7 linked regions of the Macaca fascicularis genome follow. The protein of the gene in region 5 interacts with the protein of the main gene of each other region in a pairwise test. Links are inferred from orthologs where the notes say so. Each region holds a gene or a part of one and is shown on either strand. Other genes may lie near its edges.

The links.
Region 1: the proteins of TCEANC (region 5) and CSRNP1 interact in binary tests that used the Homo sapiens proteins (3 or more experiments, as listed by UniProt). The two-hybrid records come from large-scale screens. The link is inferred for Macaca fascicularis from reciprocal best matches to the Homo sapiens genes TCEANC and CSRNP1.
Region 2: the proteins of TCEANC (region 5) and OBI1 interact in binary tests that used the Homo sapiens proteins (3 or more experiments, as listed by UniProt). The two-hybrid records come from large-scale screens. The link is inferred for Macaca fascicularis from reciprocal best matches to the Homo sapiens genes TCEANC and OBI1.
Region 3: the proteins of TCEANC (region 5) and PNMA1 interact in binary tests that used the Homo sapiens proteins (3 or more experiments, as listed by UniProt). The two-hybrid records come from large-scale screens. The link is inferred for Macaca fascicularis from reciprocal best matches to the Homo sapiens genes TCEANC and PNMA1.
Region 4: the proteins of TCEANC (region 5) and SSNA1 interact in binary tests that used the Homo sapiens proteins (3 or more experiments, as listed by UniProt). The two-hybrid records come from large-scale screens. The link is inferred for Macaca fascicularis from reciprocal best matches to the Homo sapiens genes TCEANC and SSNA1.
Region 6: the proteins of TCEANC (region 5) and TARBP2 interact in binary tests that used the Homo sapiens proteins (3 or more experiments, as listed by UniProt). The two-hybrid records come from large-scale screens. The link is inferred for Macaca fascicularis from reciprocal best matches to the Homo sapiens genes TCEANC and TARBP2.
Region 7: the proteins of TCEANC (region 5) and RAD54B interact in a two-hybrid assay, tested with the Homo sapiens proteins (2 studies listed by BioGRID). The two-hybrid records come from large-scale screens. The link is inferred for Macaca fascicularis from reciprocal best matches to the Homo sapiens genes TCEANC and RAD54B.

What each region holds. Positions count from the first base shown.
Region 1 is NC_088376.1:101,225,038-101,229,329, reverse strand, and holds the start of CSRNP1 (cysteine/serine-rich nuclear protein 1), read left to right. Parts: upstream 1-1,401; 5' UTR 1,402-2,055; coding exon 2,056-2,076; intron 2,077-4,292. UniProt on the Homo sapiens protein: Binds to the consensus sequence 5'-AGAGTG-3' and has transcriptional activator activity. May have a tumor-suppressor function. May play a role in apoptosis.
Region 2 is NC_088391.1:69,691,089-69,695,348, reverse strand, and holds the start of OBI1 (ORC ubiquitin ligase 1), read left to right. Parts: upstream 1-1,423; 5' UTR 1,424-1,488; coding exon 1,489-1,560; intron 1,561-4,260. UniProt on the Homo sapiens protein: E3 ubiquitin ligase essential for DNA replication origin activation during S phase.
Region 3 is NC_088381.1:141,639,987-141,644,508, reverse strand, and holds PNMA1 (paraneoplastic antigen Ma1), read left to right. Parts: upstream 1-1,528; 5' UTR 1,529-2,293; coding exon 2,294-3,355; 3' UTR 3,356-4,153; downstream 4,154-4,522.
Region 4 is NC_088389.1:2,127,172-2,131,015, reverse strand, and holds SSNA1 (microtubule nucleation factor SSNA1), read left to right. Parts: upstream 1-1,436; 5' UTR 1,437-1,509; coding exon 1,510-1,561; intron 1,562-1,850; coding exon 1,851-2,050; intron 2,051-2,575; coding exon 2,576-2,683; 3' UTR 2,684-3,124; downstream 3,125-3,844. Other genes in the region: ANAPC2 (anaphase-promoting complex subunit 2), read right to left, coding at 265-887, 1,200-1,316. UniProt on the Homo sapiens protein: Microtubule-binding protein which stabilizes dynamic microtubules by slowing growth and shrinkage at both plus and minus ends and serves as a sensor of microtubule damage, protecting microtubules from the microtubule-severing enzyme SPAST.
Region 5 is NC_088395.1:13,442,983-13,447,248, forward strand, and holds the start of TCEANC (transcription elongation factor A N-terminal and central domain-containing protein), read left to right. Parts: upstream 1-1,302; 5' UTR 1,303-1,382; coding exon 1,383-1,572; intron 1,573-3,084; coding exon 3,085-4,145; 3' UTR 4,146-4,266.
Region 6 is NC_088385.1:60,315,590-60,318,623, forward strand, and holds the end of TARBP2 (RISC-loading complex subunit TARBP2), read left to right. Parts: intron 1-355; coding exon 356-428; intron 429-570; exon of another isoform or gene 571-656; coding exon 657-774; intron 775-1,093; coding exon 1,094-1,221; intron 1,222-1,603; coding exon 1,604-1,805; intron 1,806-1,948; coding exon 1,949-2,106; 3' UTR 2,107-2,387; downstream 2,388-3,034. Other genes in the region: NPFF (pro-FMRFamide-related neuropeptide FF), read right to left, coding at 2,730-2,847, 2,975-3,034. UniProt on the Homo sapiens protein: Required for formation of the RNA induced silencing complex (RISC). Component of the RISC loading complex (RLC), also known as the micro-RNA (miRNA) loading complex (miRLC), which is composed of DICER1, AGO2 and TARBP2.
Region 7 is NC_088382.1:104,050,428-104,054,236, reverse strand, and holds part of RAD54B (DNA repair and recombination protein RAD54B), read left to right. Parts: intron 1-2,315; coding exon 2,316-2,541; intron 2,542-3,160; coding exon 3,161-3,368; intron 3,369-3,809. UniProt on the Homo sapiens protein: Involved in DNA repair and mitotic recombination. May play an active role in recombination processes in concert with other members of the RAD52 epistasis group.

The sequences.
Region 1 (4,292 bases), on a different chromosome or scaffold from region 5:
CACTGGAAGCTTGGCTCCAGCTGCCCAGACACCTCCCCCTGCAGGCCCCCAGGTACACACTCAACGCATCCGGAAGGACAGGGGCCTTTATCTTCCCCCAACCTGCTTTCCTCCTATTGTTCTTCCAGGAAAGGTAAAGTGGAGCAGACCCCTGCCATTCTACATACACATCTGAGGCTGAAGAGGGGCTCTCACCATCGTCTCCACCCCAGATACCATTCAAACAGGCCAGGAGGTCACCCCCACCCCCAACCTGGAGGAAGGTAGAATGGAATCCTGAGGGCTGGGCTAGTGGCTGACAGCATTCATCTAGGACAGTCAGAAGAACCCAGAATGCAGCGGGAGCAGGACTGGGAGGGGGAGGGTCAGGCTCCCACGAAGGCTCCCTGGAGGAGGCAGTGCAAGCTGAGCCCTTAAAAGCGTTGGGATTCTGGTAAGCAGAGAGAGGGCAGGAGAGCATTCCAGTCGAGAAGACCGGCTGCAGCAAAAGCGTGAGGGTGGAAACGCTCGAGGTGATGGGTAGACCCGTACCTGCGGTTGGGAAGTGGGGCTGAGGGTGGGCTCCCAGGCCAGGACTTGGTTGCCGGGGCAAGTCGTACCGGGAGGGTTGGCCCTGAGTCAGGAAAGGCCTTGGCGGGAGCAGAGAAGGCAGTGGGCCATTTTAAGTGGCCAAGATCTGGCCCGGAAGAAACCAGACTTTTTATTTTTTTAAGGGAAGGTTGAGGTGGGAGTGGGGAAGCTAGTTCCAAGAACCCCTAGTTTGGGACTTCTGCAGGGAAGGGTCTCTTCGCCCGTGGGCAGGGGTGAAGTTCAGGCCCACTGATTACATCCATCCTTCCCGCTCCCCGCCTCCCTGCTCCCCACACACCCCAGATTCCTCTCCAGCCACAGTTTACTTTTCCGACGGATCTGGGGGTGGGTGGTAGGCTGGGGGCGGAGGAGGGAACGTTTAGATTGGAATATAATAAACTCCCTCTAGAGGGGTGGGGGTGGAGAGCGTACGGGAGACGTCGGCTGTGCCACTGTCTAGCCCCTGGCCTTGCTCCCGGCCTCAGTCTACCCATCTGTAAGCTGGGGCGGTGGGGCGAGGGGGGATCTCTACTCCCGGCTCTGCCAGCTTGAGTCGTCCGCGCCTTTAGGGACGGTGCTGGAAGCGGGGCGGGGAGGGCTCTGGCGGGAGAGGGCTGGGGGCGGAGAGCGGCGGAGGCGCCGTCGCCGGGTCAGAGTCCGCAGGGAGGCCCCCAGGCCGCTGCGCCAGGCTCCAGGCGGGGGAGGAGGCGGCGCCTCCGGGGCGGGGCTGCCGGGCGGCCTGGCTGGAGGCCCGGCGTGCGTCAGCGCAGTGAGCCCCGGAGTTTTCCACTGACGAGGAGGGCGGAGCGGCGGGCGGGGCTGGGCGCAGCCAGTCTCCCGCCGCCGCCGCCGCTGCCGGACGCGCAGAGCTAGGGGCGGCTGGACCGACGGCTGCCGGGCCGAGCGCACAGAGTCGCGGCGCTGGGGGCGTCCCCCGCCGGGACGCGGGTCGCGTCGTTTTCCTCCGCGAGCGTCCGGATTGCAGGTGAGCGCCGAAGGGCCTTGGGCCCGGCAGGACGGGACTTTGGGGAGGGGGCGTTCAGCGCGAGTGGCACTGCCGCTCCTGCCTCCTGCGGTTCTCTCCTCGGCACCCTGAGCGGGCGCGGGGGCGGGAGCTGCCCGGCTTTGACGGCGTGCCGCGGCCGGAGTCGGGGGCCGGGGGTCCGGCCAGCGGGAGTCGCAGGTTTTCTGCTCCCCTCCCCCGCCTGCCGCGGTAACCCCGAGAGAAGTCACGGCTCCCCGAGCTCTGCGCGAGTGGGGACAGAGCAGGGCTTGCGCGCGAGCGGCAAGGCGACGGGGGCGTGCGTCCGCGGGCGAGTTTCCTTTTGACCCAGTTGCCTGAGAACTTTTCAGAAGTTCCTCGCGTGGCCGGAGCAGGTGACATTTGTCGCCTTCCTCCTCGGGCTCCCCCCTCGGGGAGGCTGCGGGAGCTGCGGCGTGTGCCGGGCGCCCCCGGCCGGCGGGGGTCAGGGAGGGAGTGGAGGGATGAGCGAACAGGGAGGCGCGGTGAGTCACGGACCCCGGGAGGGAGGGAGGGAGGGAGGGATTGTGTCGTAGGCTCACCTGTTTGTCAGTCGCCGTCACTCTCAGAGGCCACTGCTGTGAGTCACGGGCGCAGCTACACCGGCCACCCGCAGGCACACGTAGACTGTCTCCCACGCACTTCTCCTCCTTCCGCAGCACGTACTTCCTCCCCTTCCTCAGTTTCTCCTCCCCGGGGCCCATTCACAGGCACGCACTGTGGAGATGCCCACACCACAGCCATAGTCACACACTTAGTCACTCCCGCTCCTGGCACAATCACACACAGCCGTAGCCCACACTCCTGACACCAGAGAGTCCCTCCCCGTGTCCTGCTGCCCACCCAGCACCTCCACCCAGAAGTCTCAATCCTTTTGGAGAGTAACTCATCACCTCCCCCGACCCAAATCCTTGACAGCCCTGCCCTCTTCTTTCACCACATCCCAGTATCTGCCTTTCTCCTATGCCCTTGGCCTGTCCTCTCACCTGGCCCTGGCAGCACCTCCAACCGGTCACACCCCCTCCACTCCCGGTGCTGAGCCACGTTTTTAAAATGCAAATCTGGCATTGTCACTCCCTAGTTAAGCCCTCTGTGGCTTGCCGTGCCCTCAAGCTAAAGCCTGCCCTGGAGCCCAGGATCAGCCTCGCGGGCTGCCCCTCCTCCGATCACACTCTCCTGGTCCCTCCTCCTGTTCCTTACCCATACGGAGTCCCTATCTGGAACTCTGCCTACTTTCCTTCCTCAGAGAGACCTACCTTCACCCCAGCCGTACCCTGTCCCACCCTTCAGACCCTCCATCCCAGCAACCCACTCTATTTGTCCTCCCTGCTCAACTCAGAGCTTCAAGAGGGCCGCAGTTGTGTAAGTCTTGCTCCCTGCATGCGTGAGTGCCTGCCACAGTGCTTGGCACGTATTTGTTGAGCTTGGTGCCTATTTGTTGAATGAATGAATGAATGAGAGAGGGAAGAAGGCCCGTCTTAGGTGGAGGAAGCAGTCATTGTCAGGTGCAATGTCCCTTCTGCAAGAACAAGTGCCTCATGTAGCCAGCATACATTTGGCACCTATCCAGTGCCAGGTCCTGAAGGCCAAAGCTGAGGAGCCATCCCCTCCCCCAGCTCTCCTTCAGAGGGATGCTTGGGGAGGAAGTGCCAAGGCTTTCGGTCTGTCCTCTCTGGGCCACCCAGGCTGGTTTTTCAGTGGGGACTAGAGGTGCTGGGAGGTGCCCTCCCCTTCTCCCAGGAAGTTGTTCCTGAGGGACAGGGGTCATGTGACCCCAAGTGTTTTGGGGGGACTGGCCAAGGCCTGGGGCTCAGAGGTTAAAGGACACATTCTTCAGATTCCTGAAGGGGGATGGAGGCAGCTAAAGGTGCCCCCTCCCTAAGACTGGCTTGGGCTGAGGCCTGGGGCACTGGTGGGACTGCCGAGGTGGACAGAGGAGTTGCTGCAACTTTTTCAAGCCCCGCCCCCACTTCTCGAAAACAGCCCTTGGTTGCTTGGTGCCCAGGGGTGAGGTGGCCTTTCCTGGATTCGCATAGTGTGACCTGAGTGTGTGGATAACCGTGGCCAGTTGAGTGGGGGGTTGTCAGTGCCTGTGTGTGGTGGCAGGAGGGCTGCCCAATTGTCAGGGCTCAGATCCCAGAAGAAGCCTGGCTCTCTGATTCAGGGCCTGTCTCTGGGGTTCCTCGGCGGTGAGGTATTTCTGTCCAAGCCAGCTCCTGGGAACTGCTTTTCCTTCCTCCAGGACCCTAGGGAGGGGGCTGTGCTCACCCTGGGAACACTGCCATGGTCAGAATCCTGATTCCTGGGTAGCTGCTGAGGGCCCCTCCCCCCACCTCTGACTCACTGTCTGACACTTAGATTCTCACTATCTTTCATTCCCTCTTGGCCTCTCCTTGTCTCTGGCTCAGTCTTTTTGTCTCATCTCCTGCCTCTGCCTCTTAGCCTCTGGATTCCCACGTGGAACAGAGGAACACGAGAACCAGGGGCACTTCCCCCGCCTCTCCAGAAGGAGTATCAGGGAGGAGGTAATTTCTCATTTCATTCCTGCGCTGCAGATTTGGAAGGGATTGTTCATCACTAGAACCTGCGGCAGGACTGTAGCTTCCCTGTGTCTCTGTTTCCCTGTCTGTAGCTTGGAGGTCATAACCTCCTCACCTTAAGTTCTCTTTCTGTGGACATCCCTTAGGCAGAGCCGCAGTGT
Region 2 (4,260 bases), on a different chromosome or scaffold from region 5:
GAGAGCAGAATAGTGCTCACAGCTGTAATCCGTAGGCCAAGGAGGGGGAATCCATTGAGCCCAGGAGTTCGAGACCAGCCTGGGCAACATGGGGAAACCACTCCCTGACCCTCGAGGCGGGCAGATCACTTCAGGTCAGGAGTTGGAGACCAGCCTCATCAACATGGTGAAACCCCATCTTTACTAAAAATACAAAAGTTAGCCAGGCGTGGTGGCGCATGCCTATAATCCCAGCTACTCAGGAGGCTGGCTGTGGCAGGCGGACAGGATCGCTTGAGCCTGGAAGATCGCTGTGTTGGAACCGCTACACTGCAGTCTGGGTGACAGAGTTAGACTCTGTCTCAAAAAACAAAACAAAACAAAAGTTGCCTGAAGCCATGGAGCTACCATGTAGGTAGGAAGTTGTTGGGGGCAGGGATTTTCGCTGGAGCAGCCCAGGTCCAGAACCGTTTCTTTTAACCATGAGGCTGCTTCTTGAAGTCATACTGCCTCTTTTTCAGAAAGATTAGTAAAAGTTGTCTCAGTGGTCTTGTTTTTAAATCGCTCAACTCACAGATTTTATTTGTTAGTATAATTTATCACATCAGCTCTTCCTCGCTTAAAGTAAGTTGCAGATAAATTCCAAATCTGCTATACTTCATTTAAGATGAATTTAGGAACTTTTAGGTTTTTTCTTTTTTTTTGTTGGTAGGAAAAGCTAATTTATAACCTCACAAATAATTCTCCCTTGGGGTTCAACAGCAGAGCGGTACATTTCGTATCCAACCATGCACCTGAAGTCAAGACGTTAAAACGTTAAATCTCCTTTTGGTGGAAAACCAAGAACAGCCCAAGGGAAAGCGTATTTTCAGGGAAAGCTGCGATTAAATGTATCCGGATCGTCTCAGACACAGATAAGGAGACAATCACTGTTTTCTTAAGTGAATTATTGTACCGTCTGGAAGCACATTATATTATTTGAGTGGAAAGAGAACTGACAGAGGTGGAAAGCTGTTTTGAAAAAAAATTGAAACGTGTAGATAACGTCTTTTCTCTTCATGTTTTGATTGCGCTGTGTTGACGGACTGTGTGGGGTTTAATAATTAGGGAAAAACTCTCCTTCACCCCATCCAATCCCCGATAACAATTTGAGGATTTTAAAAATCGCCTTTCCGTATCTTCCTCTCTTCTCTCCACTATTACGCATTCCTTTAGAGTTTCCAAGATCCTCGAGACTTGTAGTAAACTACCTTCCTACACATTCGTAGGTATCTTGCAGCTCCCTAACCAGTGATTTTGTTTTATTTTATTTTATATATTTATTTATTTATTTTTTTTTTAATGAAAGGAAAATGCCTTGGAGATCGCGCGTTTCCAAAGTGCGTTTTCTCTCCCAGGCGGGTTATGGCCCTATCGGGCCGCCGTAGCCGGTCCGCGCGTGCCCAGTCTTGGCGAGGAGTCGCGGTAGGTCGGCGGGACTTCCGTGTTGGCGGGATTCTGAAAGCTGCCATGGCTCAGACCGTGCAGAATGTTACATTGTCGCTCACTCTGCCCATCACGTGCCACATTTGCTTGGGGAAGGTAATGGGTGATTGTGGGCACAGCTACAAAACGGGGTTGGATATGAAGTCGCTTGCCGGGCCGAGGGCGGTCTCGTGCGGGGGCGGGGAAGGGGCGTGAGGCGCCGAGATAGGAGAAAACGCTCACCCGCGTTCTTGATGGGAGCCGCGTCCTGGGAGACTGGGGCAGTGCACCGTGATTAATGGTTTCATCTGGGCGCCTTTCGGTAGAGGGTGACAGCGGCCCGTGGTCTGCCAGGAGGGCGGCGAGACGGCCCTGCCACCGCCCGCGGCCTCACACCGGCAAGACGCCGGCCTCGCAGGAGGCCCCATCAGAAACACGTCGCAGCGATATTTAACTTCCCTGTGCAAGCTCGCGTGGCGTGTAGTGAAGCCTATTAAAACACATTTCCTGGGAGCCTCACCTCGGGCTCTTTATTCCTCCGTGTAACTAGTGTTCATCTTCTGGGGCCTATGGTGCTGTGTATTGAGTCTTTTCCATTTCCAAGACCTTTTGCCTTTTCTTATCCTGGCCTTGAGGATGACCTTTGCTCTGAATTCCTAATTTGAAAAGTAAATAGTAAGTGCCTGTGGAGGGTATTAGAATAAGAGGTGTGGCCTTTAACTCCAAGAATGGGTCAGTCAGGAGATAGAATACTCTCTCTTTGTGATGCAAGAGGTGCCTACTGTGTTTGTGAAACAAGGTAGGGAAAGTGGTTCTGACTTAGAAACGGAGCTTTGAATATTCTAATGCATTCCTCTGCTCTTTCATTTCCATTTGCGCCTCACTTTTGGTGTTTTAAAGAGCATTTCTTTACCGAATAGATCAAGAAGGGGAAAGATACAACCACCAATTTTTTTCCACCCTGAATTATTTTTACGTCTGTAGTGTGTCTGGGTGTGTGTTTACCCCCCAGCGCAGACTGAAACTACAGCCGTAGACTTAGATTTGAGAAATACAAACTTCTAGAGCAAGCATTTGAGTGCCGGCCAGTACGATCTGCCTGGGGTGATTCAAGTTCTGTGTGAATTTACTGGGTTCAAAAAGTAGAAGTAAGTCAGCATTGGAAGCAACTGATAATTCTTGATAGCAGTCAGAATGAAATGCCAATGAAATAGCAAATGTGCTGGGAGATTATGTATTGGGGATGGCTTGATCAATTTGACTGGAGAGATTAAGGATGGCCTCCTCGAGGGTGGTGTTTGAGCTGGCATTTGCTACTACTTACTGCCTGCATGCATGGCTAGGGGGAGGGAAGAAGCGATGTTTCTATTTGCCGCAGTCTGCATTTGGCTCCTGACATAAAGTCCCTGGAAATGGGTGTTAAATTCTGAGTTAATTTCCTCCAACACTAGCTTTAAAGGCTGATAAAAATATGCTTGGGAAGTAATTTTTTACACATTATACCTAGTTTCCGTTGGTTACAGGCTGTCTTTTGCAATTGTGTTGACAGTGTTCTGTCTGATTTACCAAACCTATACTTTCTGTATTTAATGAGAGTGATACCTCATAGAATATAGTGAGTGATTTGCAGACTACAGAGTGCTTTTGTATGCATATATTATTTTGTTTACTCTTCACACCAGTGCTTTAAGATAGGGCTGTTTTTCCATTTTTAAAATAAGAATACTATAGCTTAGAGTCTTTGTGGTTGAACCTGTATACTATCATTTGTGTCTTCGGAGTACTAAGGCTTTGAGTCTTCACAGTTGAACCTCTATCATTATCATCATTCGTCTTCAGATTACTTCGTAAAACACTCACCTAAGCTCATCCATGATAGCAGGCACTTTTAGTGGTTTTTTTTTTTTTTTCTGTATTGGTTAACTTTATTATAAAATAAAAATCAGATGATAAAAATAAAAAGATTAAGACTTTTTAGGCCGGGCGCGGCGGCTCACACCTGTAATCCAAGCACTTTGGGAGGCCGAGGCAGGCGGATCGCCTTAGGTCAGGAGTTTTGAGACTAGCCTGGCCAATATGGTGAAACCCCATTGCTACTAAAAATACAAAATTTGCCGGGTGTGGTGGCAGGCGCCTGTAATCCCAGTTGAGGCAGGAGAATCGCTTGAACCTGGGAGGCTGAGGTTGCAGTGAGTTGAGATCGCGCCATTACACTCCAGCCTGGGAGACAAGAGTGAGACTTTGTCTCAAAAAAAAAAAAAAAAAAAAAAAAAGAAAAGAAAAAAAAATAAGGATTTTTAAACTGGCTTCCCCATCCGCCTCCCCAGCCAGATACCACCATGGAAGCAGAAATTTCGGTGAGGGCCTGAGTTCTACATTCAGACTAGCCGGGTTCTAATCTTACCAGTCATACAACCTTTTACAAGTTACTTAACTTTTTAAATTTTTCTGAGATGGAGTTTTGCTGTTGTTGCCCGGGCTGGAGTGCAATGGCGCCATCTCTGCTCACCGCAACCTCCGCCTCCCGGATTCAAGCAATTCTCCTGCCTCAGCTTCCCGAGTAGCTGGGATTACACGCATGCGCCACCACGCTCAGCTAATTTTGTATTTTTGGAAGAAACGGGGTTTCTCCATGTGGGTCAGGCTGGTCTTGAACTCCCGACCTCAGGTGATCTGCCCGCCTCGGCCTCTGTGCACAGCCACTGTGCCCGGCTGAAGTTACTTAACTCTTTTGAGCCTGTTTCCTTATCTGTAACAGTAGAAATATGGTAATAACATGAATTCCCTATCCTTTCAGTTTTCAGAAGATTACACAAA
Region 3 (4,522 bases), on a different chromosome or scaffold from region 5:
CATTACTGTCCTCCATGCCTTCAGCAGCCCCCCTCACAGCTAAGGTACATACCACCCCTTCTGCCGCGCCCCCTTCCACTCCTGGCACCAAGGTCTTTTGCTGCTTATGTCTAAAGGGATCGCCTATATTTAACTGCCTCAGTGACCTAACCTCTTTCTTCTCATGTGCCAGATGTTAAGATGAAGGAGGAATACAACACATGCTCAAGCCTCAGCTGTTTAGTTGTTTTCACTGGGGCTCGCTTTTCTGGGACGGTATTTATTATCAGACTGGCAAGCCTAACTCCATAGGTTTACAGGAAGTAGGGATATTTTTATAAAACAATTGTGTCCTCCCCACATTTTGCTATGTTAATATTTGCCTCTAACAATTTGCAGCTGTTTCACTTTTTCCTCATTTGTCTCTAAGTTGAAGGCCTTGTTGGAGGGGACAGAGCACAGGAACAGCCTTGACAGTCTGTAATTATTGTACAAATATTTTAATAGCATATAAATAAGTATATTCCTTTTATTTTGAAACAAAAATGATCAGACACTGCCTTTTGTGTGTTTGCTGCCTGTGGCACCCTTTTTGAAAAAGACTGTTACATATTAAAATAGTGTACATACATATAAATATTACCTCTTTTGCTGTACAGTTGTGATAGAGACTGAAGATTTTATTTTTTGTGTGCTTTTTATAAGAAAAAATTAATACACTAAAGAATCTTGCTGATGTGATTGTAATGTACCTATGTAACTTATTTACTTTTGAATGTTCTTCTGTATCTTTAAACCTTTTATTAAATAAGGTTTTAAAAATTCAGAGTTGAATGCTATGTTCTCTCGGGATTTTCACCATCTGGGGTTGATGTAAGTGGGCCTTGTCTTGCTTGCAGGGAGATTACTCGACATTTTTGAGCCATAAGGATTCTCTTTTAGCAGCCTATTGTCGATGCCAGCCAGGAAAAGGAAAATAACACTAATGTTTGCCTGGCTAAAAGATGACTCAGTAGACACAGACAAACAGATGTTTACAAAAGTTTAGACAAGAAAAAGTCTAAACTCAGTATCTCACACAAAAAATGGCGCACTCCGGCTTCATTGGGATAAAATATGCAGGGTGCACAGTGTGGTCAGGGGTAACGGGAAGCCAGGGTTCTGAGGAGAGTATTTTCACGTGCAGGGTGGACTGGCTGGGCAACCCGAGTAGACAAGTCCACCATGAGGGATGCCATGACTTCCAATAGTATCATCTTAAATGCACTCCAGGATTGGGTTATTATTTTTAAAACACGGTGCTTAGCAGTATTTGTTTGCTGTTAAAATGGAAAATTATGAAAAAGGAAATGCGCCATCAGAGAAACAAATGCCCAAGCCCCTCGCTGGCACCATGGCAACCGCTCGACCCCCGCGGGCCGCCGGAGCAGGCGTGATTCGCGCCAGCTGGGGCGCCGTTGCCATGGCGACGCCCGAGCGGCTCCGCCGCGGGGGCGGGACGGGGCGGGGCTGACGCCGCTCGCGGGCTGGCCCCATCCTCCACTGCAGCAGTAACGTCGCAGCGGGTTGCGGGTAGGACTCGACGCTGGGGCAGCCGCGCAGCGCCTGAGCCGCTGCAGGCCGCCGCGGCCGCCGCTGCCCACCCTTGCCTGTGCTGTTTCCAGCCTCGCTTCTCCGGCTTTCCTGCTCCTCTGCTGCCTTCGTTTCTGGTCCTCGGCCGTCCTCGCCGCCCGCCCAGAGGAGTCCCCGCGCCCGCCAAGAGGAGTCCCCACGCCCTCCAAGAAGCCGCTCTCCGCTGGCCCGCAGCCGCCGCGACTTCGGCACAGTCTCTCCCTCTGGCTAGTCTCCCAAACGGCCGCTCCTCGCCCGCGGGAAGACCGGGCTGCGACCGCGAACGCCCGATCCTCTCCAGGAGCCGCAGCGAGCGCCCGGCGGGCACGCCCCGCGACCACACCCCGGCTGCTTTCGACCCAGCGCGCCTGCCTTCGCCGCCCGCCCTCGCTCCTTGCCCGCTGCACGACGACGCGACAGCCCGGCTGCAAGCGGCAGACCCGACCGGACCCGGACCCAGACGCAAGATGGCGACGGCCGCGTGACTTCCTCAGCGTCCCCGAGCTCAGCTCCAAGTGTACCTACGGACTGACTGGGGGGGCAGAGAAGGGCGAGATCAGGACTCTGTGTCTTTGTTAGTCGTGAATGCATGAAGCCTACCTCCCTTGGGCCTATTTGGTGGGAGTGTCTGGTATTGTTCTAAGGCCAGGAGTACGGTGAGCCACAGTCTGTTGGTAGAATTGGCGTCTTGATAGTTGAGAAAATGGCGATGACACTGTTGGAAGACTGGTGCCGGGGGATGGATGTGAACTCCCAGAGAGCTCTGTTGGTCTGGGGCATCCCAGTGAACTGTGATGAGGCTGAAATCGAAGAGACCCTCCAGGCAGCGATGCCCCAGGTCCCCTACCGAATGCTTGGGAGAATGTTCTGGAGGGAAGAAAATGCGAAAGCAGCCTTATTAGAGCTCACTGGCGCTGTCGATTACGCCGCGATCCCCAGGGAGATGCCGGGCAAAGGAGGGGTCTGGAAAGTGTTGTTTAAGCCCCCAACTTCTGATGCTGAATTTTTAGAAAGATTGCACCTCTTCCTAGCTAGAGAGGGGTGGACCGTGCAAGATGTTGCGCGTGTCCTTGGGTTTCAGAACCCTACTCCGACCCCGGGCCCAGAGATGCCAGCAGAGATGCTAAACTATATTTTGGATAATGTTATTCAGCCTCTTGTTGAGTCCATATGGTACAAGAGGCTGACACTTTTCTCGGGGAGGGACATCCCAGGGCCTGGAGAGGAAACCTTTGATCCCTGGCTGGAGCACACTAATGAGGTCCTAGAGGAGTGGCAGGTGTCCGATGTAGAAAAGAGGCGGCGGTTGATGGAGAGCCTTAGAGGCCCTGCCGCTGATGTCATTCGCATCCTCAAGTCCAACAACCCCGCGATAACCACTGCCGAATGCCTGAAGGCGCTTGAGCAGGTGTTTGGGAGCGTTGAGAGCTCTAGGGATGCCCAGATCAAATTTCTGAACACTTATCAGAACCCGGGAGAAAAATTGTCTGCTTATGTCATTCGTCTGGAGCCTCTGCTACAGAAGGTGGTAGAGAAGGGGGCCATTGATAAAGATAACGTGAACCAGGCCCGCCTAGAGCAGGTCATTGCTGGGGCCAACCACAGCGGGGCCATCCGAAGGCAGCTGTGGCTTACCGGGGCTGGGGAAGGGCCGGCCCCAAACCTCTTTCAGTTGCTGGTGCAGATCCGTGAGGAGGAAGCCAAGGAGGAGGAGGAGGAGGCTGAGGCCACCCTTCTGCAGTTAGGCCTGGAAGGGCACTTCTGAGTGCCAGAAAAGACAGCTTTAGTGCAGACCTAGATCACAGCTAGTTTTCTTGTCCCTGTGGGGGTCTTACAGATGTGTCTCTGAGTAGTAAAGGCTTAGCCCTGTTCCGTTTTGTTGTTTTTTTGGAGGGGAAGGTTAGTCAGGCCTGAGTATTCATGTAACATTCTAAAATTGTGCAAGCGAGCACCGTGAGCTGCTACAATGCAAGTGGGTCTTGCTGGCTAAAGTGCCAGGTAAAGGGTTGGTTGGACACAGCGCTTAGTGCACGCTGTCATCATGGACATCATAATCAGTTGTGAAAAACACACGAACCTCTGACACTTCCTATTCCACACTGAATGTGAAATTGCATGTGCAGATGTTTACTACGGGGCCTGGCTCACAGGAAGTGTTCAGTAAAAGTATGAACTATTAGATTACTGATAGCGCAGATAGATTTTTCTTTACCATAAATAGTTCCAGATTTATATTGATGGAAGGAAATGTGCATTTATTAGCTATTACTCAACTTTACAATGCAAACATCATATTTCTCATCTTTAAACATGTCGATCAGTTTAATTGAAAAGTATTCTGAGACTGCAAAATGGGGTGTTAAAAAAATACTGCAATTACGGAGCTGTGTAAACCAGTTTCTCATTGCATAAGATACAGATGTAAATTGCATGGAGAGGTTGATATGCACCTGTACAGTAATTCACTTCCCCATTTCAGATCTTTGTCAGAGAATAGTTCTTGTTCATACTGAGTGTTCTAAATTTGAAGTTATATATACAAATTAAAATATTTTAAAAATTCTGTTGTCTTCTCATTTTTCTGGCATGTATAAACATTTTTAGCCTAAGTAAACTCTGTCCTTTTTTCTTATGAAGACTTTGTCATTAAACCATTTATTTTACTCTTAAGCTTTGTATGATACTATGTGAATTTAAATGGCAAGTCCTTTTTTTTCCTTCCCCTCTTGCTGTCATCTTAACATTTTTTTGGTTTATTTTTTAATTTTTTAAATTTTTTATTTTTATTAAGGGCAGAGAGGGTCTTGCTCTGTTGCCCAGGCTGGAGTGCAATGGAGCGATCTCAGCTCACTGCAACGTCTGCCTCCCGGATTCAAGTGATTCTCCTGCCTCAGCCTCCTGAGTAGCTGGGATTACAGGCATGTGCCACCAC
Region 4 (3,844 bases), on a different chromosome or scaffold from region 5:
TTTGGAGTCGCTAAGAAATTTGCTGCTGCAGACAAAAGCCACATAGGGCCTTACCATGGGCAAGGCATGAATCCGTGGGACTGCAGGTGAGTGACAGAAGAGAGACACCTGTGTCCAGGACACACTGCACAGGAACCCCAGGGACTCTCTCTCTGTCATGTTCCTGGTTATCAGGACGGCTCACCAGCTTTCTGCAGAGGCCAGCTGGACCCAGGGGAGCAACCAGTAGGAGCGAGAGCACGGCCATCAGGACAGACTACTCACAAGACCTGGCTGAGCTGATGGAACTGCTCCAGAGCCTGGCGACACCAGCACTGTTGCTTGTCACTGCTGCACCCTGCGCACAGCGGGCTCTGCAGGAGCCGGTAGTACCGGCGACGGGCATACCGGCTGTCCAGCTCCCCCTCCAGTTCCGGGTCTGTGCCCCCTTCCCCCTTCCTCTTACTCTGCATATAGACTCTCAAGAAGCACCCATACAGACGCTGGATCATCTCTTGGAAGGTTCTGGGGGTACTAAAGAACAAGACTCCGCGCAACATAGTGTGGACTTTTTCTCGCAGCCCCTGAGCACCAGTGCCCATCAGCAAGCCCAGGCGAGTCCATTTCTCCAGCAGCTCTAGGCTACGCAGGTAGGGATCCAGGCGGCTCTCCAGCAGGCCAAAAGCGTCAAGGAGCAGCAGAAGGCACTGGGGCTCATCCGTAGAGTTCTCGCATTGGGAGATGGCATTCCAGAACTCAGGGGAGATGTTGGCCTGCAGATCGTTCTGCAGCACCTCTACGAACCACTCCTCCAGGACCGAGTGCAGGCCGTGGCCCCTCAGAACCTCCACCGCCGCCCGGAGCTCCTCTTCCTTTGGCGGGACTGCACCGCTGGTCCGGGAAGACACCTGGAGCGCAGAAAACCGTGAAGCGAGGGGAACACAACATAGAGGTGGGGAGAGGCGGGGAAGGGAAGAAGCTGAGGGGTAGGCTGCAAAAACTCCGCTGCCCCCTGTCCGTGGTGTCCGGACGTTGGGCCGAAACTAGGGAAGGGCTGCCAGCGGAGCTGAACGAAATGAAGTGGAATGGCGGTGGAAAGCGGCAGGACAGGGCAGAGGCGGATGACGGACAGAGCTGTATGAACCCGAAGGTGGCCGCCCCAAAGTGCATAGGGTCCCGGAAACTCCGCGCGGGGCCGCCGCTCTCTTCCCAGGCCTCACCAGCCCCAGCGCAGCTGGCGGCACCAGGCCGGTGCTCACGGTATTCCAGGCCACTAACAACTCCTGTCCGGGCCGGGAGTCGCTGTCCCCCTCCGCCACCACAACTGCCGCCGCCATCTGCAGCCACCGGCTCCGAGATCCCCTCGGCACGGCGCAAAGCGATGACGCAAGTCTGCACGCGCAGCCATGACGCGCACAAGGCGCTCAGCGATGACGCGTAGTTCGGCGCGCCGTCAGGGAGTCGTGCGCAGGCGCGGACAGCGCTGGTTCCGCGTCGGTTGGGGTGGCGGGGCCCCGGGCGGCGTAGACCATGACCCAGCAGGGCGCGGCGCTGCAGAACTACAACAACGAGCTGGTCAAGTGTGAGCGGCGCAGCCGGGACGGGGAGGTCGGGAGGGCCGCAGGGCCGGGTTCCCGGCTCGCAGCGGGGTGCCCCTGGACCCGCCTAGTTGCGGGCATCGCGCAGCTGAGCAGAGCCCTCCGTGCCGGGGGCTGGGTGTCCGTGGCCCCGAGCCCTCGTTGGCTCGCAGGCCCCGCGCCGGGTGCTCGGGGGTGGTGCCTGACTCTGGCTTCCTCGGGTGGAAGGAGGCCCGCCCTCCGCCGCCGCGCTCCTGCCCTGGGCCCACAGCCCCGCCCCTCCTGGCCCCCCAGGCATAGAGGAGCTGTGCCAGAAGCGGGAAGAGCTGTGCCGGCAGATCCAGGAGGAGGAGGACGAGAAGCAGCGGCTGCAGAATGAGGTGAGGCAGCTGACGGAGAAGCTGGCCCGCGTCAACGAGAACCTGGCACGCAAGATTGCCTCTCGCAACGAGTTCGACCGGACCATCGCGGAGACGGAGGCCGCCTACCTCAAGGTGGAGCTCGGGAGGCCAGGCGGAGCATCAGGGGATAGCCGCGGCAGGGGTGTAGCCGCGGCAGGGCGTCAGGACCGTCTGGGGCTCCCAGCTGTGGGCAGTCTGTGCCTCGCTGACATGTCGGGCAGGAGCAGCGTGGCCAGGCCCATTGAGGAACCCAGGCTGCTGCGGGAGTGACCGTGGGGCTGTCTGGGGGACCTGGGGCATCCTGGGTCCTGGTCTTCATCCGGTTCTCGCTAGCCATGTGGTTCTTTCTGCTTAGAGTGTGAAGAGCCACGTCTTGGGCCAGTGCTAACCCAGCCTGGCTTTGAGGGTGGGGAGGAAGTGTTCTGGGTCAGATTCAGGAGGGAAGAGGGCCCTGTTACCCCGTCTGCCAGTCCCCTTGGGCTTCCGCCTTCCCCCGCACAGGATCCCTTGGCTACAGCACCCACAGCCAGGTCCCAGAACCTGAGTGTGAGGACAGCTGGGGCTTAGGAACTTCCCAGCAGGTGAACAGTAACAACTTCCTCACTTCTCTGGCCCCAGATTCTGGAGAGCTCCCAGACTTTGCTCAGCGTCCTCAAGAGGGAAGCTGGGAACCTGACCAAGGCTACAGCCTCAGACCAGAAAAGTAGCGGTGGCAGGGACAGCTGACCAGACCACGGGCAGGGCCTGCCTCTGTGCGCCCCTCACCTCAGCCCCGACAAGTCTGTCCTCAGAGCGTCTTTGTTCTTCACAGCAGCAGCTGCCTTCCCTCACTGTCCCCGGTGCCGAGAGGGGCGGCTGCCAGCCTCTACTGGCATCATTGACAAGCCAGGGCACAGCCCACCCAGGGGCTTTGTGCTCACACGGGCTGTGGGGATGGTGGGTTCCAGGTCAGCTCTGCAAAGGGCCTGTCTCTGTGGCACCCACACTCCTGCCCTGCTGGGGAGGCCCTGGTTGTCTGTGCACCATGGGGGCCCCCTCAGCTTGTCCCTCCTCAGCCAGCAGAGGCCCAGGGCAGGGGACAGGGGTTCTCCTTCACCCCAGAACCCAAACCTCAGGGCTCACCCCTGTGGCCTGTGATTATCAATAAAGATTATCTTTGTAAAGGTCCGTGCCAGCCTGCTGCTTGCCCGTGTCAACAGTGTGGGGCTGCCAGACACCTGCAGAGCCAGAGCCTGAGGCTCCCCCTTGGGAAAGGAGGGAGGAGGCGTCTGGAGTGGTCTCCCTATGACTGCCCAACTAGCCTCAGGGACACCGCTGAGGGTGCCCACCCCGCCCAGGCCAGCGCCACCCTCGGCCCTCCCCAGCAGGGCCGCTGGTCCTCTTCCCCTGACTGGCCCACAGCTCACCCTCCTCTCAGCTCTGCTCGCTCGTCCTGTTCTCTGCCACACCCTGGTGTCCAGCATAGGACCCAGCCCAGAGAGACAGCTAGGGATGCCAAGCATATCCAGCAGCTGCCTCAGACTCAGGTCTCTCTCAGCAAGGACTGGGGGGGCTTCACACCCCCTACCCCCACCAGTTCCTCCTTGCAAGTCCTGCTTGGCCTGATGACACCACTGCTGCCACCAGGCCCTGCTGCCCCTTTCCCTGGCCGCACGCCAAGCACTGGCCACCTCCATCCTTCTGCGTGCCCTGGGGCCTCTGTTCTGTCCCTGCAGCAACCAAGCACTGCCTGAAGACTGGGCCTATTTGGGAAGCGTGTGTTGATCCAGAGGGTCCAGAAAAGAGCTGGGCCCACCCCCCAACCAGGGAAATACACCAAACTCTCCCGCCGGAGTCTGGCCAGACAGCAGCGCTTTGCTCTATGGTTTGGTTCTCCAGGGAGGAAAC
Region 5 (4,266 bases):
TGTAATTATAGCTTTGGGGTTTCAGTGGAGTGAAAGCAGTAATTTGTCTTACCGGCAAAATGAGTAAATCTATAGAAGTTAATGTATTTATGTATAAACAACCAAAGCACTTTGCTCTTCATTTTATATGTTCTTTTATTGACCTTTATATTTCTTTAAAAATTTTTAATTGTGATAAAATATACAAAACATAAAATTAACTGTCTTAAGCTCCCCCCCCCAGCTTTTTTTTTTTTGACAGAGTCTTGCTCTGTCACCAGGTTGGAGTGCAGTGCACAATCTCAGCTTACTGCAACCTCCGCCTCCCGAGTTCAAGCAATTCTCCTGCCGCAGCCTTCCAAGTAGCTGGGACTACAGGCGTGCCCCACCACGCCCAGCTAACTTTTTGTATTTTTAGTAGAGATGAGATTTCACTGTGTTGGCCAGGATGGACTCGATCTCTTGACCTCATGATCCACTCGCCTTGGCCTCCCAAAGTGCCGGGATTGCAGGTGTGAGCCACCACGGCCAGCCTGTCTTAAGCCCTTTTAAGTATACAGTTCAGTAGTGTTAAGTACATTCTCATTCCAGAGGGAAAGTAGGTAGAAGGTGATTGATTCATTGCTCATACCATTTTTCAGTAGGTATATCTTAAATGTATATAGTTTATCATGAAATTACATTAGACTAATAACTTTTCTGATTATGAAAACAATACACGCTCATCACAGAAAATACAGAAGAGGAAAAGAACAAATGAAAATTACCTAAAATCTTGCCATTCAGAAAATGCCCCTCTTTAAAATTTTGTGTAACTCTTTTCAGTCTTTTCACATGTAATTCTTAAATAAAATTTGGATCAGATTCTATTTTTAAATAACACCTTTATTCAGATGTAGTTCACACATCATACAATTCACCTAAAGTGTGTAATTCAGCGTTTTTTAGTATACTCAGTTGTATAACCCATAACCACAAATAAATCAACTTTTAGAAGATTTATTTGTGCCACCACTCCCCAAGAAAATCCCTGAACTTTATCAGCTGCTCCTCCTTCTTCACCCTGCTGCCCTTCTGCCCCACCCTACCTAGTCAACAACTAATCTATTTTCTGTCTCTATAGATTTGCCTGTTTTGGACATTTCATGTAAATAAAATCATGCAATATGTGGTGTTTTCTGTCTGGCTTCTTCCGCTTAGCATAATGTTTTCAAAGTTCATCCATGTTGTAACCTGTATCAATACTTCATTCCTTTTCATGGCAGAATAATATTCTGTTGTGTGGATAAATCACATTTTATTTATCCATTCATCAGTTGATGGACATTTCGATTATTTCCCATTTTTGGCTATTGTGAATAATGCTGTTATGAACATTTGTGTACAAGTTTTTGCGTGGACATATGTTTCCATTTCTCTTGGATCTGCTGGGTCATGATAACTGGTTTATTTATTTATTTTATTTTTTTAGACGGAGTCTTGCTGTGTCGCCCAGGCTGGAGTACAGTGGCATGATCTTGGCTCACTGCAAACTCCGCCTCCCAGGTTCATGCCATTCTCCTGCTTCAACCTCCCAAGTAGCTGGGACTACAGGTGCCTGCCACCACTCCCAGCTAATTTTTTGTATTTTTAGTAGAGACAGGGTTTCACCATGTTAGCCAGGATGTTCTCAATCTCCTGACCTCGTGATCTGCCCGCCTTAGCCTCCCAAAGTGCTGGGATTACAGGCGTGAGCCACCACGCCCAGCCCATATGATAACTGTTTAATCTTTTATATAGTTTTACATCTTGATTGTTTTTCACCTAACTTTATGACCATTTTTCCATGTCATTAAATAACTAAATACATGATTTTTAAATGGTTATATTATTGTATCTAAGGAGTGTGCCATATTTTTAACCATTCTCCATTTAACCATTTGAGGTCCTTCCAATTTCTCCTTAGAAAAAAATTCTTACATATGCAGTCTCCACATCTCTCATTTCCTTAAAGTAAATTTACGGAAGTAGAATTACTAAAAGGTCATTATGTTTTATGTCACTTGTCAGATGGTGTCTGGGAAGATTGCATGAATTCTCTCTCTAAACACTTCAGTGTTCTTAGCCTGTGTATGTTCAGTGGTGATTATTTAACATCAAGTGCTATAAAACAGAGCCCATGGATTTTTGAAAAGACACAGTCCCTGCCATCAAGATGCTTATGTTCACATCTAGACCAGACAGATAAATATAGATCCAAGGGTATTATATAGACAAGATTATGTACATTATGTGGAGAGGAAAAGGTAGACTGCTTAGATAAAGTAAACGCTTGCCTGCCTAGGATGAGATTCACACAGACATAATCATTGAGCAACTTTTTACGCTTAAAAGTTTTTAAAAAATTAACAAAACCAAAATGTAGGAACCAGTTAGTCTAAAGTCATAAATCATCTGGATCATTGAGTCTGAACCTTTCCCTTGTTCAGGAGACTTCTGAGGCAGCACAGTGTAGCCTGTTGGCTTTTGGGACCCGCAGACGTAGCTCTAGCTGCTTTTCAACCTGTGCTGTCTCATGGTTTCTTTAGATTGCTTGAGACATTAGCAAACCCTTTCTGTCTTGTTTCTTACTCTTTTATATTCAGAAGAGTACCACTTTAAAGATTATGAAATGAGCAAGTAGTTCAATTATATAGCTGACTCTGGGGAAAAATTGTCTAGCACTGTTCAGCATTGCCATATTGATGCTGACACTGGCATGATTTCATCTCCAGCATGACCACCGGATTCCACCCAAATGGATTGACTACTCTAGAAAGATCATTGATTTGTAAAATTGGAGATGGAAAAGCTATAGCAGATCCCCTGGCGAGCCTCTTAAGCAGATGTTATGTAGAGGCTCTGCAATACTGTTTGTTTATTTTTCACTAGTAGGAATTAAACTCTTGAGAGTAAACCATACCACCTTAAAGACTCCGTTTTCTAGTATGTCACATACATTTGTATTACATGACTCCTTCAGAAAACAATGCCTAGGTTACTGACAGAAACTGCTATTTTCGTATCCAGAAGCTGCGACTAGCAAAGGCAAACTTAAGAAAACTGAAACCTCTTTTTTCTTTGCAGCTGTAAAGATGTCTGACAAGAACCAGATAGCTGCCAGAGCCTCCCTTATTGAGCAACTGTTGTCCAAAAGGAATTTTGAGGATCTTGGCAACCACCTTACTGAGCTAGAAACAATTTATGTGACTAAGGAACATCTCCAGGAGACAGATGTGGTGAGAGCTGTATACAGAGTCCTCAAAAACTGCCCCTCTGTGGCTTTGAAAAACAAAGCCAAGTGCTTGCTATCAAAGTGGAAAGCTGTTTATAAAGAGACTCACTCCAAAGCGAGGAACAGCCCTAAATTATTTCCTGTGAGGGGTAATGAAGAAAATTCAGGACCTTCTCATGACCCAAGTCAGGATGAGACACTGGGCATCTGCAGCTCAAATTCTCTATCTTCCCAAGATGTTGCAAAACTCAGTGAAATGATTGTGCCTGAAAATAGAGCCATTCAATTGAAACCTAAGAAAGAGCATTTTGGGGATGGTGGCCCTGAATCCACTGGTAAGAGATTGAGTGAGTTGCTGGATCCCATAACACCCATGAGAACTAAATGCATAGAGCTTCTTTACGCAGCTTTAACTAGTTCTTCTGCAGATCAACCCAAAGCTGATTTGTGGCAAAACTTTGCAAGAGAAATTGAAGAGCATGTTTTTACCCTTTATTCAAAGAATATCAAAAAATATAAAACTTGCATCAGAAGCAAAGTTGCCAATTTGAAGAACCCCAAAAATTCTCACTTACAACAAAACTTGCTCTCTGGTACCATGTCTCCACGAGAATTTGCTGAAATGACTGTCATGGAGATGGCAAACAAGGAACTGAAGCAGTTGAGAGCCTCCTACACAGAATCTTGTATCCAGGAACATTACCTTCCCCAAGTAATTGATGGCACACAGACAAATAAAATAAAATGCAGACGCTGTGAGAAATACAATTGCAAAGTCACTGTAATTGACAGAGGAACACTTTTCCTTCCCAGCTGGGTGCGGAATTCAAACCCAGATGAACAAATGATGACTTATGTAATTTGTAACGAATGTGGGGAGCAGTGGTACCACAGCAAGTGGGTGTGCTTTTAACTGTAAATGAGTGTTCTCTTAACAGATAACCTGAGTGATTGATACCTTTTATTTGTACAACCCTTCTGTGCTTTTAAAAATCTTGTACACACTACTCTCTAAAACAGAAGAAGGAGGAAAG
Region 6 (3,034 bases), on a different chromosome or scaffold from region 5:
AGGCCCCATTTTCTTCTGGGTTGACCACATGTCAGTTCTGTGTTTGAGGCCCATCAGGCACTTCTGGGACTGGAAATACAGCTCTTCTCCCACTGTCCTGGCTTGGATGATACACAAGTGTTCCAGATTGGAAATGGGCTGGGGCCTGGAGAAGGCCTCCCTTGAGTGGGAGGGGGAAGGAAGCCGGCTAGAGCAGGAGGGAGCAGGCTCGATGTGTGAACAGACAGCTGCCTGCCCGGTGGGAATCAGGAGATGGTAGTCAGGAATCTAAAGTAGTGGTTAGGCTTGGAGCTCATGGGCAGGCTCAGATGGAACCCTTCACCTCAACTTTGGCCCTGTGCCCTTTTTCCTTCAGGAGCCCCCCCATGGAACTGCAGCCCCCTGTCTCCCCTCAGCAGTCTGAGTGCAATCCTGTTGGTGCTCTGCAGGTGTGCTCCATCCTCATTTCGCATGCATGCCTGTCTTCCTTTGAGTCAGGGGCCATGAGGGAAGGTTATGTGTGTTTGGGGGTGGGGGCGGTTCCCTGTACTGAGGCCCTTTCCACCCCCCTCTCTCCTTCCTCTCACCTAGAGTCTGAGGCTCCTGCGTGGGGACCAGCGTGGGTGTGAGAAGCCTTTTTTCACTCAGCCTCATGCACCCTGTGTCTCCCTTCCAAGGAGCTGGTGGTGCAGAAAGGCTGGCGGTTGCCAGAGTACACAGTGACCCAGGAGTCCGGACCAGCCCACCGCAAAGAATTCACCATGACCTGCCGAGTGGAGCGTTTCATTGAGATTGGTAACCGGGCAGGAGGGGGTTCTCACAGCTCCTCTCCCGCAGCACTCTGGCCCCAGCCCCAGAGCAGCTCCTAGCCTCACTCTGCTACACCCCCTGCTCTCTTAGCTTTACAGTCCCTGGCTCAGCCCCTTCCTTTTAGCTTCTTGGCACCCTATCTGTCCCCTTCTTCCTGGCCGACCAGGTTCTCAGGTGCACGGGCAGGTCCTGAGTTCCCCTTTCCAGTTGACATTCTGGGGGGACCCTTAATCCAAGTATGACCTGGGTGAAAGCACTGGGTCTGTGGGGAATCATAATCCAGCAGCCCTCTCTCCACATGCAGGGAGTGGCACTTCCAAAAAATTGGCAAAGCGGAATGCGGCGGCCAAAATGCTGCTTCGAGTACACACGGTGCCTCTGGATGCCCGGGATGGCAATGAGGTGGAGCCTGATGATGACCACTTCTCCATTGTGAGTGGCTCATGTGGGCTGGGCACTGTGGCCCATCCTCCATGCCAGGGCAGGGCTCCAGGGACTTGGGTCTGTGACTCAGCAGTGAGCCTCTCTGGGTCCTAGGCCTGCTTCTGCCACACTTTTCCTACCAGACCCAGGGTTCCTGGGGCCGACTCAGCCTTGACTGTAGGCCCGCTCTGTAGCTCTGTTACTGGGATGAGGAGGGATGCTTGGCTATCTGGCCCAGGACCTGGTAGTTAGAAGGGGCCACCCAGGGATTGAGTGGGGGGAGGCAAGCTGGAGGAAGCATTCTTTGTTCTTCTCCTTTGACGTTGAATATTTCAATGCCTGGGTCCCACAGTCTCTCGCTTCATCTTTCTCACTGTTCCCATCTTGACAGGGTGTGGGCTCCCGCCTGGATGGTCTTCGAAACCGGGGCCCAGGTTGCACCTGGGATTCTCTACGAAATTCAGTGGGAGAGAAGATCCTGTCCCTCCGCAGTTGCTCCCTGGGCTCCCTGGGTGCCCTGGGCCCTGCCTGCTGCCGTGTCCTCAGTGAGCTCTCTGAGGAGCAGGCCTTCCATGTCAGCTACCTGGATATTGGTATGGCTAGCTGAGGAGTGAGCCAGGGGATGGTGGGGGCTGGACGGGAGCAAGTAGAGGGGGGTGATGATGACGTGAACGCACCCCTCCCCAGGGCTACCTCCCCACCCAACATTGCCTCCTTCCTCTCTCTTGCTCTCCAGAGGAACTGAGCCTGAGTGGACTCTGCCAGTGCCTGGTGGAACTGTCCACCCAGCCGGCCACTGTGTGTCATGGCTCTGCAACCACCAGGGAGGCAGCCCGTGGTGAGGCTGCCCGCCGTGCCCTGCAGTACCTCAAGATCATGGCAGGCAGCAAGTGAAGCCCCAGCTGGACTCATGGATGTGCACCCTTTGCTCCCTGCTCTTTCTGCCTCTGGGCTCATGTATCTGCGCAGCTCTGGTACCCTCTGTGGGTACCATCTCTACCTCTGACACAGACTGCCTGCCTTGAGGCTGAGAAGGCACAGGGCAAGGAGCCAAGGACCACAGGGCCTCAGCCAGCCCAGGATTCGTCCTCATTTTATTGGTGATGATGAATGGGAATGAAATCGGGGCTGTCTACTAGAGCCTGGAATAAATATGCTGCTTTGTAGATTTTTAAGCCTTTCTCTCGTTTCCTGAGCAGTGTGGATAGCAGAGGAGGTCACCACATGACTTTTGTGTGCCTTCCCTGAGCTCCTGTTCCAGCCATTCTCATGTTTTCCTTTCTGGTGGGAGGAGGCTGGGTGCAGTGGCCTCCTGGAATGTTGTCGGCTGCCTTGTTGGAGGGCTGGGTTTGGTGGAGAGGGAAGGGCAGTGGTTCTTGCTCTTGGGCTTCCACCCAGCCCTGTAAAGTCTCACACAGACACACATGGATTCAGAAGCCAGACAACTTTATTTGGGGGGCAAATATTGACACTTTTGGGTGTGGGCCTTGCATGCAAACATATCAAGGGATGACATGTCACTTCTTCCCAAAGCGTTGAGGGGCAGCCAGGCTCCAGAACTCGGAATTCAGCCCCTCTCCAGCCCGGGGACTCAGCCGTTCATTGCTCCAGGATCCCCGGGTATTTCTGCCAAACCTTAGGAAAGATTTGTCCTCAGGTCCCTGCAGTCTCTCTTCTCTAGCCCCCTTCCTTCTCCTCGTCCTCTGTCTCCTGCCCTTTCTACCCCCAACCCCTGCCATGCTTGTGTCCCTTTCAGACTCACCTCTGGGGCTGAAACAGGAAGGCTTGGCTCCGGCCAGGTCTCTCCATTGCCTGTAGCAGG
Region 7 (3,809 bases), on a different chromosome or scaffold from region 5:
CTGGGATTACAGGCGTGAGCCACCGCGCCCGGCCTTTGGCATTCCCTTATTTAAAATCATTCAGAGACTCTCAGAAGTTAGAACAGGGTTTCCCAAACTGTGATCCCTACTCCACTGGCAGTATATGGGACTATTTTGGGGTGGCAAGTGGACAAGCCTTTTAAAAAAATTTGAATAGTAGCATATTTAGTTAATTATTAGAAAAATAGGCTGGGCATGGTGACTCACACCTGTAATCCCAGCACTTTCAGAGGCCAAGGCAGGTGGATCACTTGAGGTCAGGAGTTCAAGACTAGCCTGGCCAACATGGTGAAATCCCTTCTCTACTAAAAATACAAAAATTAGCTGGGCGTGGTGGTGGACACCTATATCCCAGCTACTCAGTATGCTGAGACAGGAGAATCACTTGAATTCAGGGGGCGGAGTTTGCAGTGAGCCAAGATCACGCCACTGCACTCCAGCCTGGGTAACAGAACAAGACTCTGTCTCGAGAAAAAAAAAAAAAAAAAGAAAAATAGCATATTAAACTTTTGGTTTCACAGATAAATTATGCTTAGAATGAGTTTTCTTTTCAAATTTAAGTTAAAAATGAGTTGATTTGAAGAAAAATAATAACATATAGTATCACAGATATGGCAACAAATCATGATAGTAGTCATGAAATCCTAGTGTTTGGGAGATGCTGATCTATAAGATACAGTCTAAACTCTCAAGGATAAGTATACTCATCTTTTGTCTTCTACCTACCATGGTAGCTTCATATTTTTCAGTTCAAGCTCCAACTATATTCAACTGCCTCATTAGTGTAGCAATTATTTACCCTTTACAATTTTGCTCAAGATACATCTTCTCCATAAAGGCTTCCTATTTGCTCCCTTCTCTTTACCATGAAAAGATGAATCTGTATTTTCTCTTTGCTATTCACTGTATCTCATTTGGCTGACATTTGGTCCTTTGTTACCAAATTATTGATCTAAAACAGCTACCTAAATAGTAGCTGTAATTTATGTTGGTAATATTTTTCTCTATACCTTGAAATGGAACACAAATACAAAATTACATATTGGTTCTTAATTTCTACTAAGAAGAAATACAATTAGCTAACAAACTATAGCTGACTCTTGAACAACTCAGGAATTAGGGGTGCTGACCCACTGTGTAGTAAAAAATCTGCATATAACTTTGGGAGAAACTTAACTAATAAACTACTGTTGACTGGAAGCCTTACTGATAACATAAACACTCATTTTACACATAATTTCATATACTATATGTATTATATACTGTATTTTTACAGTAAAGTAAGCCAGTAAAAAGAATGCATGATGGAAACCATAAGGAAGAGAAAATGTATTTACTATTCATTAATAGGAAATGGATCATCACAAAGGTCTTCATCCTTATCATGTTGAGTAGACTGAGTAAGAGGAGGAAGAGGAAGGGTTGGTTTGGTTGTCTCAGGAGTGGCAGAGGTGGCGGAAGAGGTGGAGGAGATAGAAGGGAGGCAAGAGAGGTAGGCACACTCACTTATAACATTTATTGAAAAAAACCCATATATAAGTGGACTTTCACAGTTCAAACTCTTCTTGTTCAGTGGTCAACTGTATACTTATGCATTTTTGTAATATCCTTAATTCCCTTGGACTTTCTTAACTTTAAAAATATAAAACATACACTGCTAAGGTCTTTAGGAATATAAAGTGGCATAAAAATACATGATCTTACTAATAATATCCCTAATAACATTTAATTTTAAATTATATAACATAGTAGGTCTGTAGGATAACAACTTTTACTAAATTATGTGTATTATATCAAGTGTTTAGTGTTTAATTTTTTTATGATGCAGGGAGCTATTTTTGTTGAGGACTTCATTTACTGACAGAATCATAAAATACAGCTCAGTAGGTCTTGCTGATTAAATATAATACAACAATATATTTTAAACTGTTTTGATATCTGAAACCAATAAAAATCACTCAACTCTTAGCGATGAGAAACACAGTTATAGTTAAATTATCCATATGCAGATATAAAATTGGAATTCATTTCTAGCCTCTAAATATGTACATGTAATAGTAGCAGATGATTTAGATTCAACTCTCTAATTTCAGATTTATGTTTTGGTAATTTAGTTGACAATATGTAATGGATATAATTATCAAAGATGCAAAAGATGTGTTGTAAATCAGCTAATAAAGTACTAAAAGAGTCTTCAGTGTCATTAAAAAATACCAGTTTCTGGTTCTTGATGATTTTAAGGGCATAAAATATTTTTCTATTGTGATTAAAGGAAGTAAAATTATTTCTAACAGAATGAATGGCAGATGTGGAGCTATTCTTGCTGATGAAATGGGTTTAGGGAAAACATTGCAATGTATTTCGCTCATCTGGACCCTGCAGTGTCAGGGACCCTATGGAGGCAAGCCAGTAATAAAGAAGACACTAATTGTCACACCTGGAAGCTTGGTGAATAATTGGAAGAAAGAATTTCAAAAGTGGCTAGGAAGTGAAAGGATCAAGATATTTACTGTTGATCAGGTAAGAAACTTGAAAATTTAGCCTTAGTCATTTAAAAAAAAAATCTAGTTTTTCAAATCAGTAATTCAGTTTTTACTTGTTAACTCCCTAACCCTTTTGCACAAAAATGGAGTCTTAGCTTACATTTTGGTTTTGAGTTGTTATGAACTGAATGTTTGTGTCCCCCAGATTCATATGTTGAAACTCTAACTTTCAGTATAACAGTATTAGGAGGTGGGCTTGGGAGGTAATTAGGTTTAGATGAGGTGGTGAGGGTAGAGCCATGTGATGAGATTAGTGCCTCTGTAACAAGAGCAAGAGACACCAGAACTTCCTTTCTCTACCACGTGAGGATACAGTAAGAAAGCATTCTTCTGCAAGCCAGGAAGAGGGCTCTCACCAGAACCCAACCATGCTAGCACCCTGATCTTAGACTTTCCACCAGAACTGTGAGAAATAAGTGTCTGTTGTTTAATCCACCCAATCTATGGTATTTTGTTTATAGCAGCCTCAGTTGACTAAGACAGAAAGAGTTAACATATTCCAGTTCTTAATAAGTGACTGTCAGGAATAGGCTGCTTAAATTTGATTTCATATCATTTCTCTTCCTGATTTTTAAAATACTATCTTTTTTCCTCAGGACCACAAAGTTGAAGAATTCATCAAGTCTATATTTTATTCTGTTCTTATTATCAGTTATGAAATGTTACTTCGTTCCCTGGATCAAATTAAGAATATAAAATTTGATCTTCTAATCTGTGATGAGGGGCATCGTTTGAAGAACAGTGCCATTAAGACAACTGCAGCCCTCATTAGCCTTTCTTGTGAGAAAAGAATAATTCTAACTGGTCAGTATTCAGTTTGGGGAAGATATTTTGGAATTTTTGCCTAGTGAACATACAGCCTTGTACTATGATGCTTAACATTCAAATAACTGGTGGTATTGGATGGAATTTATACTAATAAACCTGTGTTAATTGACTCTTAGTAGGATTCTGAATCTTCAAATCCATGTGTAATTTTTTGTAGCCCAGACTTGGGGGTTTTTTAGGAATAAACACAATGATATCATGATAAGGAATTTAGGAGATCAGACTGGATTGCTTGTGCTTGGTTCCCGAGTCTGACATAGCTGTAACAACTTGGAAGCAAATTATATAGTGTCTCTGTGCCTCAGTTTTTTAAAATCTCTAAAATAGGGATGATAATACCATCTAACTTAAGTTCTCATGAGGGTCAGAGGAGTTAATCCATGTAAAGTTCTTGGAAAACCACCTGACAGGTGGTGA